Linked DNA regions of Anolis sagrei. Each later gene encodes a partner of the first gene's protein in a complex. Links are inferred from orthologs where the notes say so. Each region holds a gene or a part of one and is shown on either strand. Other genes may lie near its edges.

Region 1 (7,979 bases):
CCTTAAGTTAAGTTGAATGGATCTTGTTAAATTGCTCAGCTTCCATGTTATTTCCTATGCTATTATATGTTGCTATCCACCTTATTGAACCACTTTATCCTTTAATCCAGCTTGCATAGTGGTCTTTGCCACCCCACCTCCAAAATTAGTCTGCTGTTACTCTTGATGCTTGTTATTATTGTTACGCTGTTTTGCTGTTTTATGCTGTTTTGATTTGTTATTGCTTTGCTTTTAATTGTATTTTGCCTTGGGCTTGGCTCCATGTAAGCCGCCCCGAGTCCCTTTGGGGAGATGGAGGCCGGGTAGAAAAATAAAGTTCTTCTTCTTCAAACAGGCTCCTGGAACCAAACCCCAGTGAATACTAAGAACCTACTGGAATCCATAGACTGAACTCAGGCAATGGGTATTCAAGTGAAAGGTGGTTTCTTTGATTTCACTGAAACATATTTCCAAATAAGTACACTTAAGATTGCATAATTACTAATTACTTGAAAATGAAGCACAAGTCTAAGTAAATTTGTTCAGAATCTGAGCTGGAATCCAGTCCGGCTGATAACATATGTAAGAGATCGCAAGCGAAACAGGCCACCTTACCTTTGATCCTCTCAACGCCTGCTTTCCCCACCAGATCGGATTAGCGTCCACTACTATGACTAAGAGATTCAGCTCATCATCTAGAAAAATAAGATAAAAAGCATCACCCAACAGTGTGGTCATTTCAGCCTATTACTGTCTGTTCTATAGACAGATCACCAGTTACAATCCCCACGTCCCATTGGTTTAGCTGTCTAGAGGCAGAAGGCTCTCACTCATGCAAACACAAGTAAAAAGGAGGACCAACCAAGACTGTGTACCTGTTCATTGAGAACTGTTTCCCGCACCTTACTCATAAGGATAGGGTGGCAGCTTTAGGAGTCCCATCTGTCTTCCCCAAATGCAGAAACGAAAGTCCAGAAAAACACCATCTCAAAAGAAAGAATTTAGACATTTCTTCTAGAAAGTCTGCCCAACTGCAATTATTATTGTGAATAGTTTGCCTTTATACAGCCTGAACTTTACAGCTGGGAGGGGATTTCTGTCACTCCTCTGCGTTCCAAGTCAATGTAGCAGAAAAGACACACATCTGTGTGTGTGTGTGTGTTTGCACCACAAAGGGTCCTTCGTGGCTTGATGGATCTGGACCAAACCTGGCACACAGACTCTAAATAATTGAGGGGTTTGAACTAAACCCCCTCCACCTCTTTTGGGCCCAAAGCAGAGGGAAAGAAAAGGAACAAAGCGGATGGGCTGCTGCTAGGTGAAGTGGTCTTCTATGATACCACTGGGAAACAAAGAGGGTGAAGTGTTGTTAAGTGACATATGTATCATACTCGGCCATGAGTGATAGTCCATGGTGTATTGAGAATGGAGGAAAAAAGGAAGGGGGGAAAGAAAGAGAAGGGAGGGAAAGAAGAAAGGAAGGGAAAGGAGGTATGAGGTGAGGGAAGAAAGAAAAAGAATGGAAGAGAAGGGAAGGGAGAAGGAAGAGAGGGTGGGGAAGAAAGGAAAAGAGGTATGAAGGGAAGGAAGGGAAGAGAAAGGAAGGGAGATGGAAGAGAGGGAAGGAACGTGAAGGGGAAAAGGTATGAGGAGAGGGAAGAAAGAGAAAGAAGGGTAGAGAAAGGAAAGGAGAACTGAGGGAGAAGAGATAGGAGGAAGGAAGAGAAAGGAAAAGAAGTATGAGGAGAATGAAGGGAAGAGAAAGGGAGAAGGATGAGTGGGAAAAGAAGAAAGAAAAAGGAGGAAGGGAAGGAAGGAAGAGAAAGGAAAGGAGATATGAGGGGAAGGATGGGAAGAGAAAGAAGGGATGAGAAAAGAAGGGGGATGGAAGAGAGGGAGGGAATGTAAAGGGGAAAGGTAAGGAGAGGGAAGAAAGAGAAAGAAGGGTAGAGAAAGGAAGGGAGACGTACGAGAGCAAGGAGAAGAAAGAGAAAGGAGGAGGAAGGAAGAGGAAGGAAGGGAAGAGAAAGAAGTGATGAGAAAGGGAGAAGGAAGAAAGGGAGAAGAAGAACGAAAAAGGAAGGGGGAAGGAAGAGAAAAGGGGTATGAGGGGAAGGAAGGGAAGGGAAAGGAAAGGGGATGGAAGAGAGGGAGAAGAAAGAAAAAGGAGGGGGAAGGAAGAGAAGGGAAGTGAAGTATGAGGGGAAGGAAGGAAAGAGAAAGAAGGGATGAGAAAGGAAGGGGATGGAAGAGAGGGAGAAGAAGAAAGAGAAGAGGGGGAGGAAGGGAAGTGAAGTATGAGGAGAAGGAAGGAAAGAGAAAGAAGGGATGAGAAAGGAAGGGGATGGAAGAGAGGGAGAAGAAGAAAGAGAATGGAGGGGGAAGAAGAAAAAGGACGTATGAGGGGAAGGCAGGGAAGAAGGGAAGAAAAAGGAAGGGAGGAGGAGGAAATTGTAAAGAGGAAACGGTATGAGGGAGGAAGGAAGTAAGGAAGGAGAGGGAGGAAAAAAGAAGAGGGGGAAGATGTGTGAAGGAAAGCTAGGGAGGAAGGAAAAGAAAGAAGAAAAAAGGAAGTGTAAGGTTCCCAGTGCAAAGTCTGTCACATCATCTGCACTGCCCGAGAATGCAGTTTGAATCTGCGTGAGTCAGTGTTCACTCCTAAAATGCAGTTGCACTGCATTGAGCTGCTTGGCAGGAGTCTACGCGGCCTCTCCAGCGCAGTTCCAAACCGAAGAACAACCGCACGGATCTGTTTCCAGTACCTAAGGAACACTCTGCACGTGCTTAGGAGCAGTCGCGTCGAAGAGCCACGGCTTTGTTTGAAACCGAGGGAAGCAGGCAAACAAGAAAGGAGCCCGGATTGGAAGGCCGAAGCCACTCCGTTGGTAGAGCAGCCCGAGGGGAGGAGAGACCGCCGCATTGCCCTCAGACTCACCGCCACTCATTGCTCTCGGCAGCAGGAAGGAGCGCAGTGGTCCCCCCGTCGCAGGGGAGTGACGTCTTTGGCCGCCGCGCGGCTCCCCGCCCGGTCCCGCCCTCGCTTGATTCCGGCTTGGAGTGCCGCGCGGAAAGGCTTCCGGGGGCCAACGCGTCCCGCGACCAAGGTTCCGCCCTGGTTGCCTCGTGAGTCCCAAAAGCAGATGGAAGGAGTGGCGTGATCTGGCTCTTCCACTATGAACGAAGCAGGTGAGGGAATGGGAAGAGGGTTCAAGGCACAGGCATCCGACTTGAAATCAATCCATGGGAAAAGGATCTGGAGGCCCTTCCACACAGCCCTCTATCCCAGAATATCAAGGCAGAGAAGCCCACATTATCTGAGTGTGGACTCAGATAACCCAGTTCAAAACAGATATTGTGGGATTTTCTGCCTTGACATTCTGGGCTTTAGGGCTGTGTGGAAGGGCCCTAGGAGTCTTAGGCTGGATCTACACTGCCCTCTATCCCAGGATTTTGATCTACACTGCCAGATAATCTGGGATAAGCAGATAATCTTGAATCGGATCCTGGAATAAAAGCAATGTGGAAGAGGCCATAGGCCCCTTCTACACTACTATATAATCCATATTATCAAATAATCCATATTATCAGCTTTGAACTGGATTTTATGAGTCTACACTGCCAGATAAACGAGTTCACAGCAGATCATCTGGATTGTATATGGCAGTGTAGAAGAGGGCCTTAGTGGACCTTTGTGATGCGACAGCGAAAAAGGCTGATGTCATTGTAGGGGGCATCAATAAGATCGTGTCTAAATGTGGGGAAGTCCTAGTCCCACTCTCATTGGTCAGACCTCACCTGGAATAACCACCCTGTGTCCAGTTCTGGGCAAAACAATTCAAGAAGGAGATGAAAAAGATGGAAGGTGTCCAGAGATGGGCCACCAAAAGGATCCAGTGGTTTGGAAAGCAAGCTGAAGAAGCTGGAGTCTGTTAAGCTTGGAAAAGGGAAGGTTGAGATGTTTCAGTCTTTGAAAGGATGTCCCATTGAGGAAGAATAAGCAAGGGTTGTTTTCTGCTTCTTCGGAGACTGGGACTTCTTCTGGTCACTTCTGAAACCATTACCACTCAAGCAGGGAGCTTTGAGATGGTTGAACAGAAGTTCTCCGAAGTTCTAGGTGTTCTTACTGCCTACTACTGGGGAAACCAGCTGATTCCTCATCCATCTAAAACATCATCTTAAGAACAGACAAGCATCCCGAGCTCTGAGGATTACCTGGGAAGGAATCCCACTGGAGCATTGCAGCACACTCAAATACCTGGGAATTACCCTGGACCGTGCTCTGACCTACAACAATCACTGCCTGAATATCATATGAAAGCTGACTGGCATAACCTGGGGATCACAACTGTGATCAGTTCAAACTGCAGGAAAAAAAGAATCCACCTGAACATGGCCATACAGCCTGAAAAACCTACAACATCCTAGTGATTCTGATCATGAAAGCCTTCGACAATACAAATCCACCTGAACATTAGGAAGAACAGTAGAATGTGCTGCCTCAGAGTGTGATGAAGTCTCCTCTGGAGGCTTTTAAGCAGAGTCTGGGTGGCCATTTGCTGGGAGTGGTTTGATTGTGTCTGCCTACCTGGTAGAATGGGGTTGGACTGGATGGCCCTTGTGGTCTCTTCCAATTCTATGATTACATTAGTTTCTTACAGGCTTTTATTGTGATTTTATTTAAAAGCGCCAGCTTCATTATGAGTACAGAAAACTGGGGTAGCCTCCAGAAGTCCTCAAACTTTGACAGTCCCATAGTGTTGGCTGTGTTTGGCATGCTTTGTTTGGCTAAAGGCTTTGGACCCAGAGGTGCCCCACTCTTGCTCTATCTATGGAATGAAGAAATGCTGTCAGTCATCATTTTTGATTATGGGTGTGTTTACACTGTCGAATGAATGCAGTTTGATCCCACTTGGAACTCTCATGGCCTCAATGCTATGGGATTCTGGGAGTTGTTGTTTCACAAAGTCCTTTGGCCTTCTCTGCTGGTGCCTCTCCCAACTATAACTCTCAGGATTCCAAAGCACTGAGCCATGGCAGTTCAAGTGGAGTCAAACTGCATTCATTCAGCAGTGCAGATGCACCCTAAGTGTGTTAAAAAGAATCACTCTGTGTGTTTGTGGATGTTCTAAACCTCACAACAGACAATACCCAGCATTAAGCTATGTTGTTTTCAATTCGTAATATTTAAAGGGAATATGGAGTCTATATGGAAAGAAATCAGAGCTTAATTGACTTTCTCCTTTTTGTTTTCTTCCTCCACTTCTTTTCAGAGCTGGTCGAGGCCTTTAACACTCAGATGAGGCAGGATCCTGATGTCGCCTCAGCTGTGGCTGCTATCCATGTCTTGCTGGAGTTTTTGAAAAGAGACAAAGGCATGTAGGGGCTTTTACTTGTGTGGCCTGAGCTCTGGGTTTGAGGGCTGGAGTCCAGTAGATAACTAGGTTGGAATTTATGATTTGTGATAATTTATGATATAGCAACAAATGTTTCAGATTTAAAAGTCAAACAGTGGATTAGACATTATGACTCACTGCAGGAATTTAATCAAATTTTCATTAAACTCTCCTTGTTACTCTTAGAGATCTGCGTAGCATCTCTAACCTGCAGTAATTCAAATGTAGTACATGCTGGCTATTTAATTATCTGTATCATTGAGACAGTGAAATAACCAGCACATATACTACATTGGGCATAGCTCTTGGAAGCCACAGTTTTGCGTCTGCTTTTAGATGAAGGCTCCATCTACACTATCATTTAATGCTGTTTCAAACCGGTGTTAAAGAAAGTGGTTTCACTATGCAGATGATTGCATAGGAAACCCTGGTGTTGATTTTGAGGCCTGTATGGTGATTCTACACACTGCAGAACATTGATGCACATTGACGGCTTTCTTTTGCATGCTTTGGTGGGAATTTGTTATCTGGCTGCCAGTTTGAAGCTGCCTTTGAACTGCATTAGATGGTCAGTGTAGATGGGGCTTTGAAATTCTAGTTTATGGCAATGCAGTTACTACAAGCTCATTTCCCTCCCACTTCTGTCTCTGCCAGGTGAGACAATTCAAGGGTTGAGAGCCAATCTCAAGCGAGCCATAGAAGTGCTCTCTGGTGTTGATTCCTCGGTAGCGATCTCTTCAGGAGGGGAGCTTTTCTTGCGGTTCATCAGTCTCACCTCTTTGGAGAACCCGGTGAGTTTCACTCAATTGTTTACAAGTGAGTACAGGACTGCAGTCACTAATTAGTAGTTTTTGGGTCTGTGTCACCCAATTTTATATTAAAAGGCCCACAGGAGTTGCAGTAAAACACGCCCAGCTTTGAAACTAGTTTCCGCCTTTGTGTTTATTACATGATGGGAATAGCAACAAAGGGGAGATTTGTGAGCATGTGCCAACTCATTTCAGAAAAAAAAACTAATCAGAGCCAGATTCAACATACTTGGCTATGATGGAGAAGGGCTTTTATAGTAGAGGATGTGTCAACCCTAGCAATTTTTTAAAACCTTTAAACACGGTAAGCATGATGCTCAAGGCATGTTTGAGCTTGTTTCTTTAATTGAACCTCCGATGTCACCTCCTGCCTTCACCTCTTGCTGTTTTCTCTAGGATTATTCCAAATGTAAAGCAATCATGATTGAGAGAGGAGAACTTTTCCTCCGGCGAATCTCTGGCTCAAGGAATAAGATTGCCGTACTTTGCCATACTTTTGTCAAAGATGGTGGGGTGAGTAAGCCTAGATTTTGTAAAACACAGGAACAGACTTACTTTGGTTTTATGCATTTTACTGTTGCCCTAAACAAATGTGAAAGTTGGTACTCACCACAAATATAATATTCTCTGACTTCCATAGCTGACATAGCCATAGAATCTTTGAGATATTGGAATTGGAGGGTACCCTAGAGGTTTACAAGTCCATCCCTTGCTCAGTGTAGGATCTACAGTTATAGCATTCTGACAGATGGCCATCCAGTCTCTGTTGAAATATCCCTAGCAAAGGAGAGCCTACTAGTTCTGAAGACAACTCTGCTCCACTGTAGAACGGTATATACTGTGATAGTATTTTAACTGATATCCACCCGAAATCTGGTCCTTTTGAATTTCTAACCATTCATTCCGTTCTTCTCTTCTGGAGCTGCAGAGAATGCATCTATCCCATCTTCTGCTCTTCAAATATTTGAATATTATTTATCATGTCTCCCTTTAAACTTCCCTTTTTCTACACAGTTGAGACCTGGCTGTCTGTAATGCCACATGGTTCTTCTTTCACTAGTTCAGGAAGAGAGGACCAGTAGTCCTCCCAATAATGGGAGTTGTAGTCCAATCTCCTTTGAGGGAGGGAGGAACAGACAGCACATTCTGAGCCTTTCTAGGAAGAATTGTGTAATTTATATTACGAATCCTAAACTGAAGCATTGGTGTCCTGTTTCCTCAGAGGGTATTGACTCACGCTTATTCCAAAGTGGTCCTGAAAGTGCTGGACACAGCAGTAAAAGCCAAGAAACGTTTCAGTGTTTACGTCACCGAATCACAGCCGGACCGAGCAGGGCAAGTAGATGTCAAGGCTTTCTGCTTCTTCAGTATGCAAATAATAGTAGCTGGGTCTGCTCTTTCATTACCTGGACAGAGTTCTCCCTTTGTGAAGTAAAGCTACAGTCCTGTATACACACTGATACTTGAGAGTAAGCTCCTATGAGCACATAAGATAATGAATGAATGAACTCTACTGCAAAAGATTATCATTACTATATTATTATTATTATTATTATTATTATTATTATTATTATTTTGTCCTCTCTTGAACATCCTTTGTAATGTTACGTAGGATCGAAGTACTTTTTAAATATATATAATGGGTTTTAAGATAAAATGTTGACAATTACACAGGCAGACTATGGCTGAAGCTCTCACCAAACTGGGCATACCTGTGACAGTCATCCTAGATGCTGCTGTTGGGTAAGTGTGAGTGGGCAATATTGTCGCTTGGCAAAGCCATTTTTAAATGGGCTGG
Region 2 (6,928 bases), on another chromosome or scaffold:
TTCTGGAGACTTGATTTTTTTATAAAAATCAACCTGGACTGCATTAACAAAAGAGTTTTTAAAAAGGCCAGGATAGTGACAAAGGTTTTTAAGCAGGATCCAAGACAGATGTTAGAAACTAAGTCTAGCAGCACTGCTAGTCCTACAAAAAGCATTATGTGAACTACTTCAGTTCCAATGTATGTGAGATGCAACTTGCAAGTTGATTCCTGCCTTTGCTGAAGTGTTAGTCCCCATCTAGACTGTCATATAATGCAGTTTAACTGTATTGAACTGAGTCTACATTGCCATACAATGTGGTTAAATTGCATAATGAAATTGCATTATTTGGCAATATAGATGGGACCTTAATCACTAAAATAAGTGAGTTCTGAGATGGAATGACTGAAGGGAAGGCTAGATGACAGATGAAGTCACAGACTTGGGCAAAGATCACTACAAACCAGGTTAAGGGGAAAGGTTTCCCCTTGACATCAAGTCTAATCAAGTTCATTTCAAAGCGAAGTACTGGCGTTGTCCATAGATGCCTCCAAGGTCATGTGGTCAATATGACTGTATGGATCGTTGTTACCTTCCTGCCAAAGTGGCACCTACTGATATACTCACATTTGCATGTTTTCGAACTGCTGGGTTGGCAGAAGCTGGGGCTTGCAATGGGACTTCACCTTGTCCCATGGATTCAAACCTCCAACCTTCTGGTCAGCAAGTTCTGCAGCTTAGCAGTTTAACCAGCTGCACCACCAAAGCCCCTAGAAACCAGGTTACCATTTCTAAAAAAAACAGTCACAGTTGCTATCCTTGCATTACCCAGATACTAAAACATTAGTACTGTGTAGTGTTTAAATTAAAGTTAGACTCTCAAGAAACTGACAATAAAATAATCAAAGAAATAAAAAGATTATAAATAAAACTAAAATGAATTCAATTTTAGCAGAAATGTAAGTTTAAACTTGGCACCATAATCCCACACCAAAAATGTTTTAAAACATATGTTACTGACCTTCATGAAGTTAAAAATTTACTGTTTGCCAATTAAATTAAAATACATACTGCCTTCACAAAGCTGTTTCTATGCTGCAGTAAAATAAGTACATTGAACTTGTCTTTATTTCCTTCTAATTACTGTATTTTAATTTTAATATCAGTTTATGGTATGGTGGATAGCATTCGTTCGGCTTGTTTATAATGATAACTCTAAAGCAGGCATGGGCAAACTTGTGCTCTCCAGATGTTTTGGACTTCAACTCCCACAATTGTGGGAGTTGAAGTCCAAAACATCTGGAGGACCGGTGTTTGCCCATGCTTGCTCTAAAGTAACCAGAAACTACATTTATCCAGCATCTACCAATCTCCATGGGTGTCAATTAGCAGAGAATCCACTGTACAGTAAACGTAATAATCATTGTGATCATTTCTGTTTTGTTTTGAACTCTCTCTCTCCCTTAAACTCTGTTGTTGGAAGGCCAGGAAATCTCTCATCAGCTGAAAGCATTAGTCACCTTTTACTGTACTTCCTTCATAACAGAGAGGCCTCTACAGGCTCTTCCCCACCTTCTCAGAAACTTTATGGAAGAGCCCCCAGTATTACGAAAGACTGTCTTGTTAAACACGACGTGTAACAAAGCCACACACAAAGGTAAAATCATTTTTTAAAAGGAAAGGGGTGAGAGTCAGATAACCTTTTATCTATATAAATAAAAATGTAATGTTAGTTTGTGGGATTAACAGAACTCAAAAACCACTGGACGAACTGACACCAAATTTGGACACAAGACACCTAACAACCCAATGTATGTCCTTCACTCAAAAATTGATTTTGTCATTTGGGAGTTGTAGTTGCTGGGATTTATAGTTCACCTACAATCAAAGAGCATTCTGAACCCCACCAACAATGGAATTGGACCAAACTTGTAACACAGTTCTCCTATGACCAACAGAAAATACTGGAAGGGTTTGGTGGGCAGTGTCCTTTGGTTTTGGAGTTGTAGTTCACCTACATCCAGAGAGCACTCTGGACTCAAACAATGATGGATCTGGACCAAACTCTACAGAAATACTCAATATGCCCAAATGTGAACACTGGTGGAGTTTGGGGAAAATAGAATCTTGACATTTGGGAGTTGTAGTTGCCGGGATATATAGTTCACCTACAATCACAGAGCATTCTGAACCCCACCAACGATAGGATTGGGCCAAACCTCTCACACAGAACCCCCATGTGGCCCACAGCAATGTGTGGCAGGGGACGGCTAGTATAATCTATATAGATAAATATGTAATGGCTGTGGGATTAACATAACTCAAAAACCACTGGACGAATTGGCACCAAATTTGGACACAATACACCTCTCTGGCCAACGAGTGACCATCACTCATGAAAACACTGAAAAACACAGATGAATACTTTAAAAGCCAAACAATAAAAAAAAACATTACAACGTATGCACATAAATACACACATACACACACACAAAGCAGACATACACAGACTGGGCCACAGCAATGCGTGGCAGGGGACGGCTAGTAATATAGTATGCAATTAATGTAAGTTGCCCCAAGAATGGCGTCTAACAGCCTTGCCACACATCCAAAATATGGGTTTAAAGGAGAAAGGCCTAGGGGTGTAGCCACACCACAGAATTACAGCAAGTTTGACCCCTCTTCAACTTCCACGGCGCAATGCTCTAAAATTCTGGGGTTTGTCATTTACGGGGGCGCCTGAGCTCCCTGACAGAGAAGGCCAAACACCTCCCAACACCCGAAATGCTATAGTCTGAACCGTGACACTGGAAGCAAGAGTCAGGCCGAAGTCTTTCCAAGCGGACTCCCTTCCTCCCCTTCCCCCGGATCAGCCGCGCTCTCCCTGGTCCGCTTCCGGGGGAGAAAAACCCATCCAAACCCCTTCTAGCTTCTCCCACTGACCGGCTCGTCGACGCCATCTTGCTTCCTCTTTTGCCGCGGCGCCTGCGTAGCGTTGGGCGGCGCCCCTTTTATGCCTTACGCTCCGGTGGGCGGGGCTTGGCGAAGGCCAGCCGCTACGGCGAGTGGCGTGGAACAATTGTTTTGCAAAGGCAAAGGAATGGAATGCGAGCCCAAGCTCCTCCCCTTTCCCACTCATTGCGAGGTTGTCATTTCAAGTCCGGTTTCTCTGCCAAGTTTGTGATCCACTTAAAGTGAATTCATTTTCTAGTGTGATACAGAGCCTGGTCTTTCCTGTTGAACGAATATTAGTGATGTGCATTCCTTGGATAGCTTAGAGCAGACTTTGGATTGGTCCACATTTGCAACAGTTTTGGAAGTGTCCCTTGCCAAAGGGTCTATAGATCAGGCATGGGCAAATGGAATAGTGTATCCAAGTCTGGGGACCACAGTTGAAGAGAGATATTGACAAGCTGGAATGTGTCCAGAGGGGGGGGGGGGGGGGCGATTGAAATGATCAAGGGTCTGGAGAACAAGCCCTATGAGGAGTGGCTTAAAAAGCTGAGCATGTTTAGCCTTCAGAAGAGAAGGCTGAGAGGAGACATGATAGCCATGTATAAATATGTGAGAGGAAGTCATAGGGAGGAGGGAGCAAGCTTGTTTTCTGCTGTCTGGAGTCTAGGACGTGGAACAATGGCTTCAAACTACAAGAGAGGAGATTCTATCTGAACAAAAGGAAGAACTTCCTGACTGTGAGAGCTGTTCAGCGGTGGAACTTTCTGCCCCAGAGTGTAGTGGAGAGTCCTTCTTTGGAAGCTTTTAAACAGAGGCTGGATGGCCATCTGTCAGAGGAGTGCTTTGAATGCAATTTTCCTGCTTCTTGGCAGGGGGTTGGACTAGATGACCCATGAGGTTTCTTCCAACTCTATGATTTTATGATTCTATGATTCTACATTCATTAACTACTGAGCCACCCACTTAAGAAATGGCAATCTACTGTGTTCATCACATGAGGTAAGCTTCAAGTGTAGGGTAGAGATATCTTGGGGATAAAAAAGCATTGCAAAGGGTTATCTAGCCGAGGGGCCTTCTCCATTGTGGCCCCTCAGCTTTGTAACTCACTACCTAGTGAGATTAGGCAAGACCCCACCCTGGCAGACTTTAAGAAAGACCTAAAAACCTAGCTCTTCCAGCATGCCTTTGACTTCCTCCTTCCTTGCTTGCTTGCTTCCATGTGTTGTGTGTGCCATGTGTTACTCACCCAGGCACCTTCTTCCCTCCTCCTCCTCTGGTTGACCTCAAGAGCCATCCCCCTTCTTTCTGCCATGTAGCAAAAGCACAATCAATCAATCAATAATAATAACAACAACAACAACAACAACACTTAATTCATATTCTACCCGATCTCCCCAAGGGGACACAGGGCGGATCACAGTATACATACACGGCAAACATTCAATGCTGTTTTGGATAGAAAATACAGAGACTGACAAAACAGAAGGAGGTATGTTGTGTCAACATCAAAGTCCATTTTTTTCACGCCTTGGAAGGTTGTGCTTGAAATCTAGCCATGGGAGTGCTGTCACTCCATCCTCTATGACGAAGAGCCATCAGGACTTCCTCCTTCCCTTTGGTCGCCCAGCATTTTCTGATCTTTTTTCTTTAAGGTGTCGTAAAATACCTCCCCTGCTTGTTTTAGCGGTAAGCTGTTTTCAAACTGCTTAGGTCAACAGTAAGCAGGCTTGACAGTCAGCAGCTCACACTGACCCAGGTATTTGAACTGGCAACTTTTTGGTTGGTAGATCTTCTCATTGCTGGTGATTTACCAGCTGTGCTAAACCCCAGCCCAAAGCACCCCTGTTCCATCTCCCAGGAGCATGAGTTTTGCATTACCTTTTAGTTGCTGGAAACAGCCTCTCCTTGTGTTTATCCCAGGCTGCTGCAGCCTTTGCTAGGCCTAAAAGGTTAGCAGACAGAGGCAGGAAAGCCAGTTTGCAGGCTCTCTGCAATGATTGGCCAAAGAGTAGCTCTTTGGGCCCGCCCCTGTTTCCAGTGTAGAAGCATCCATTTTGGAGGTCTCCCTGCCCCTTCAGTCTTAAAGAAGAATCCATGATGTGCTGTTGGCAGACAGGTACCTCCAAAGATACCATTGTAAAAACAATTGAGACCGATAGATAGATAGATAGATAGATAGATAGATAGAGTCATAGATAGAAAACAATTTTGATTGAGTTATTTAGTTAGAGATAGATAGATTAAAAGAGAACTGTTTAGATAGTTATAGAGGATTATCTAGATAGTTATAGAGATACCCTTTTTGGAGAAAGTTATACCCTTTTTGGAAAAAGATTGCCTCAACTATTGAACCCCAATTGACTGTTTGTTTTGTAATATTGATAAGCTGAGCCAAGTCTACCAGGACTTCGTGAATAAATACCCTGTTTGATGTTTCAAACTTGAAGTGGACTCAGTTATTCAAGAAAGCTCAATCTTCTAAAGAAAGACCCCAGCAGTTCGCCCAGACCTAGATAGCAGCACGTCAAAGTTTTATTTTAAAGTGTCTGGGCGTAACGGCACAACCCCTAACAGATGGGCATCCTGCATCTGAATAATAATATTAAAGAAAATATGTTCCTAGTTACAAGTGTTATTTCCTGTTTAATTGTGTAGTCCTTACTTTTGTTGTGCTCCAAAAACTATGTTAAATTGGCGGAGACTCTACATGATGTTCAATCATTGAGAAACTAGAGCCAAATGTGCTATAGCAGGATGTCCTTGCAAAGACTAAGTTTTTGCAGTTTAATCATATTTTCCCATGTGTTTATGATAGAGGTAAATGTAAAGGTTTCCCCTAACATTAAATCTAGTCGTGTCTGACTCTGGGGGGGGGGGGGGTGTTCATCTCAATTTCTAACCCAAAGAACCAGCGTTGTCCGTAGATGCTGTCCTGCGGATTTGAACCACCGATCTTCTAGTCAGCAAGTTCTGCAGCTTAGCAGTTTAACCTGCTGCGCCACCGTGGAACCAATTAGGAAATTACATTTATAACCCAGGAATAAAAATCATAGTCCCATTAGAGGAAGTGTTCCTTTTCACCAAGAAAACAGGGGACAGTGAACGGGATCCACTCTATACAATGTGATGGCAAATCAACTGAGAACTCCTGAATAAAACAGATAGTTTGCTAGTGTGTGATGGAGGCAAGAAAATCATCCATTTAATTTCAAAACAGAGTATCTCTCAGCTGTATGGTAATCTACTCTTTCAAACACTTGACATGTTCAGTGGGATTACCTCTTTAATGTAATTTGACACCACTTGTCAAACTCCCTCCTGGGCACACAGAAGACTGGGCGACTTGAAAGATGCTGAACAGATTGCACTCTGGCACCACGAGATGCAGAGCCAATCTTAAGAAACTGGTCTACAAAGTGGAGTCCATGACATGCGAGTGTGGAGAAGAGCAAACCACAGACCACCTATTACAATGCAGTCTGAGCCCTGCCACATGCACAATGGAGGACCTTCTTACAGTGACACCAGACCCACTCGAAGTGGCCAGCTTCTGGTCAAAGGAAATTTAGTATAATGCCAAGTTTTAAACTTTGTGGTCTTCTATACATTATAACTCAATTCGCTTCTGACACAATAAATAAATACGACACCACTTGAACTGCCATGACTCAGTGAGAAAATCTACTGATCATGGGGAAATGACAAGCCCAGACTCTCTTCAGTGTATAAGACAAATGAAAACAGCTCTTTGTGTAAAAATTATGACGGAGTTTCAAATTTAATGATTTGTTCAATCAAGTCAACTTTACATGTTATAAAATTGACATTACTGAGTAGATACTTGAGGACCATTTTTGTAAAATAAAAATGCAAAAATTGAAGGGACAGTAACATATCCAGCTACCCAGTGAGAAAATGTAGTTATCATGGGGAAATGACAAGCCCACACTCAAGGAATCATACTGATCTCCAAGCCATTTCCCTCCAAAATCAG

What was found.
Region 2: GTF2H3 (region 1) and GTF2B share a complex: the UniProt entries of both Homo sapiens proteins name them as parts of the TFIID-containing RNA polymerase II pre-initiation complex. The link is inferred for Anolis sagrei from reciprocal best matches to the Homo sapiens genes GTF2H3 and GTF2B.

The regions. Positions count from the first base shown.
Region 1 is NC_090034.1:41,525,501-41,533,479, forward strand, and holds the start of GTF2H3 (general transcription factor IIH subunit 3), read right to left. Parts: upstream 3,015-7,979; 5' UTR 2,925-3,014; coding exon 2,915-2,924; exon of another isoform or gene 2,742-2,914; intron 2,736-2,741; exon of another isoform or gene 855-2,735; intron 675-854; coding exon 595-674; intron 1-594. Other genes in the region: EIF2B1 (translation initiation factor eIF2B subunit alpha), read left to right, coding at 3,153-3,165, 5,250-5,351, 6,027-6,163, 6,578-6,694, 7,404-7,520, 7,860-7,924. UniProt on the Homo sapiens protein: Component of the general transcription and DNA repair factor IIH (TFIIH) core complex, which is involved in general and transcription-coupled nucleotide excision repair (NER) of damaged DNA and, when complexed to CAK, in RNA transcription by RNA polymerase II.
Region 2 is NC_090024.1:151,970,066-151,976,993, reverse strand, and holds the start of GTF2B (transcription initiation factor IIB), read right to left. Parts: upstream 3,012-6,928; 5' UTR 2,940-3,011; coding exon 2,923-2,939; intron 1-2,922. UniProt on the Homo sapiens protein: General transcription factor that plays a role in transcription initiation by RNA polymerase II (Pol II). Involved in the pre-initiation complex (PIC) formation and Pol II recruitment at promoter DNA.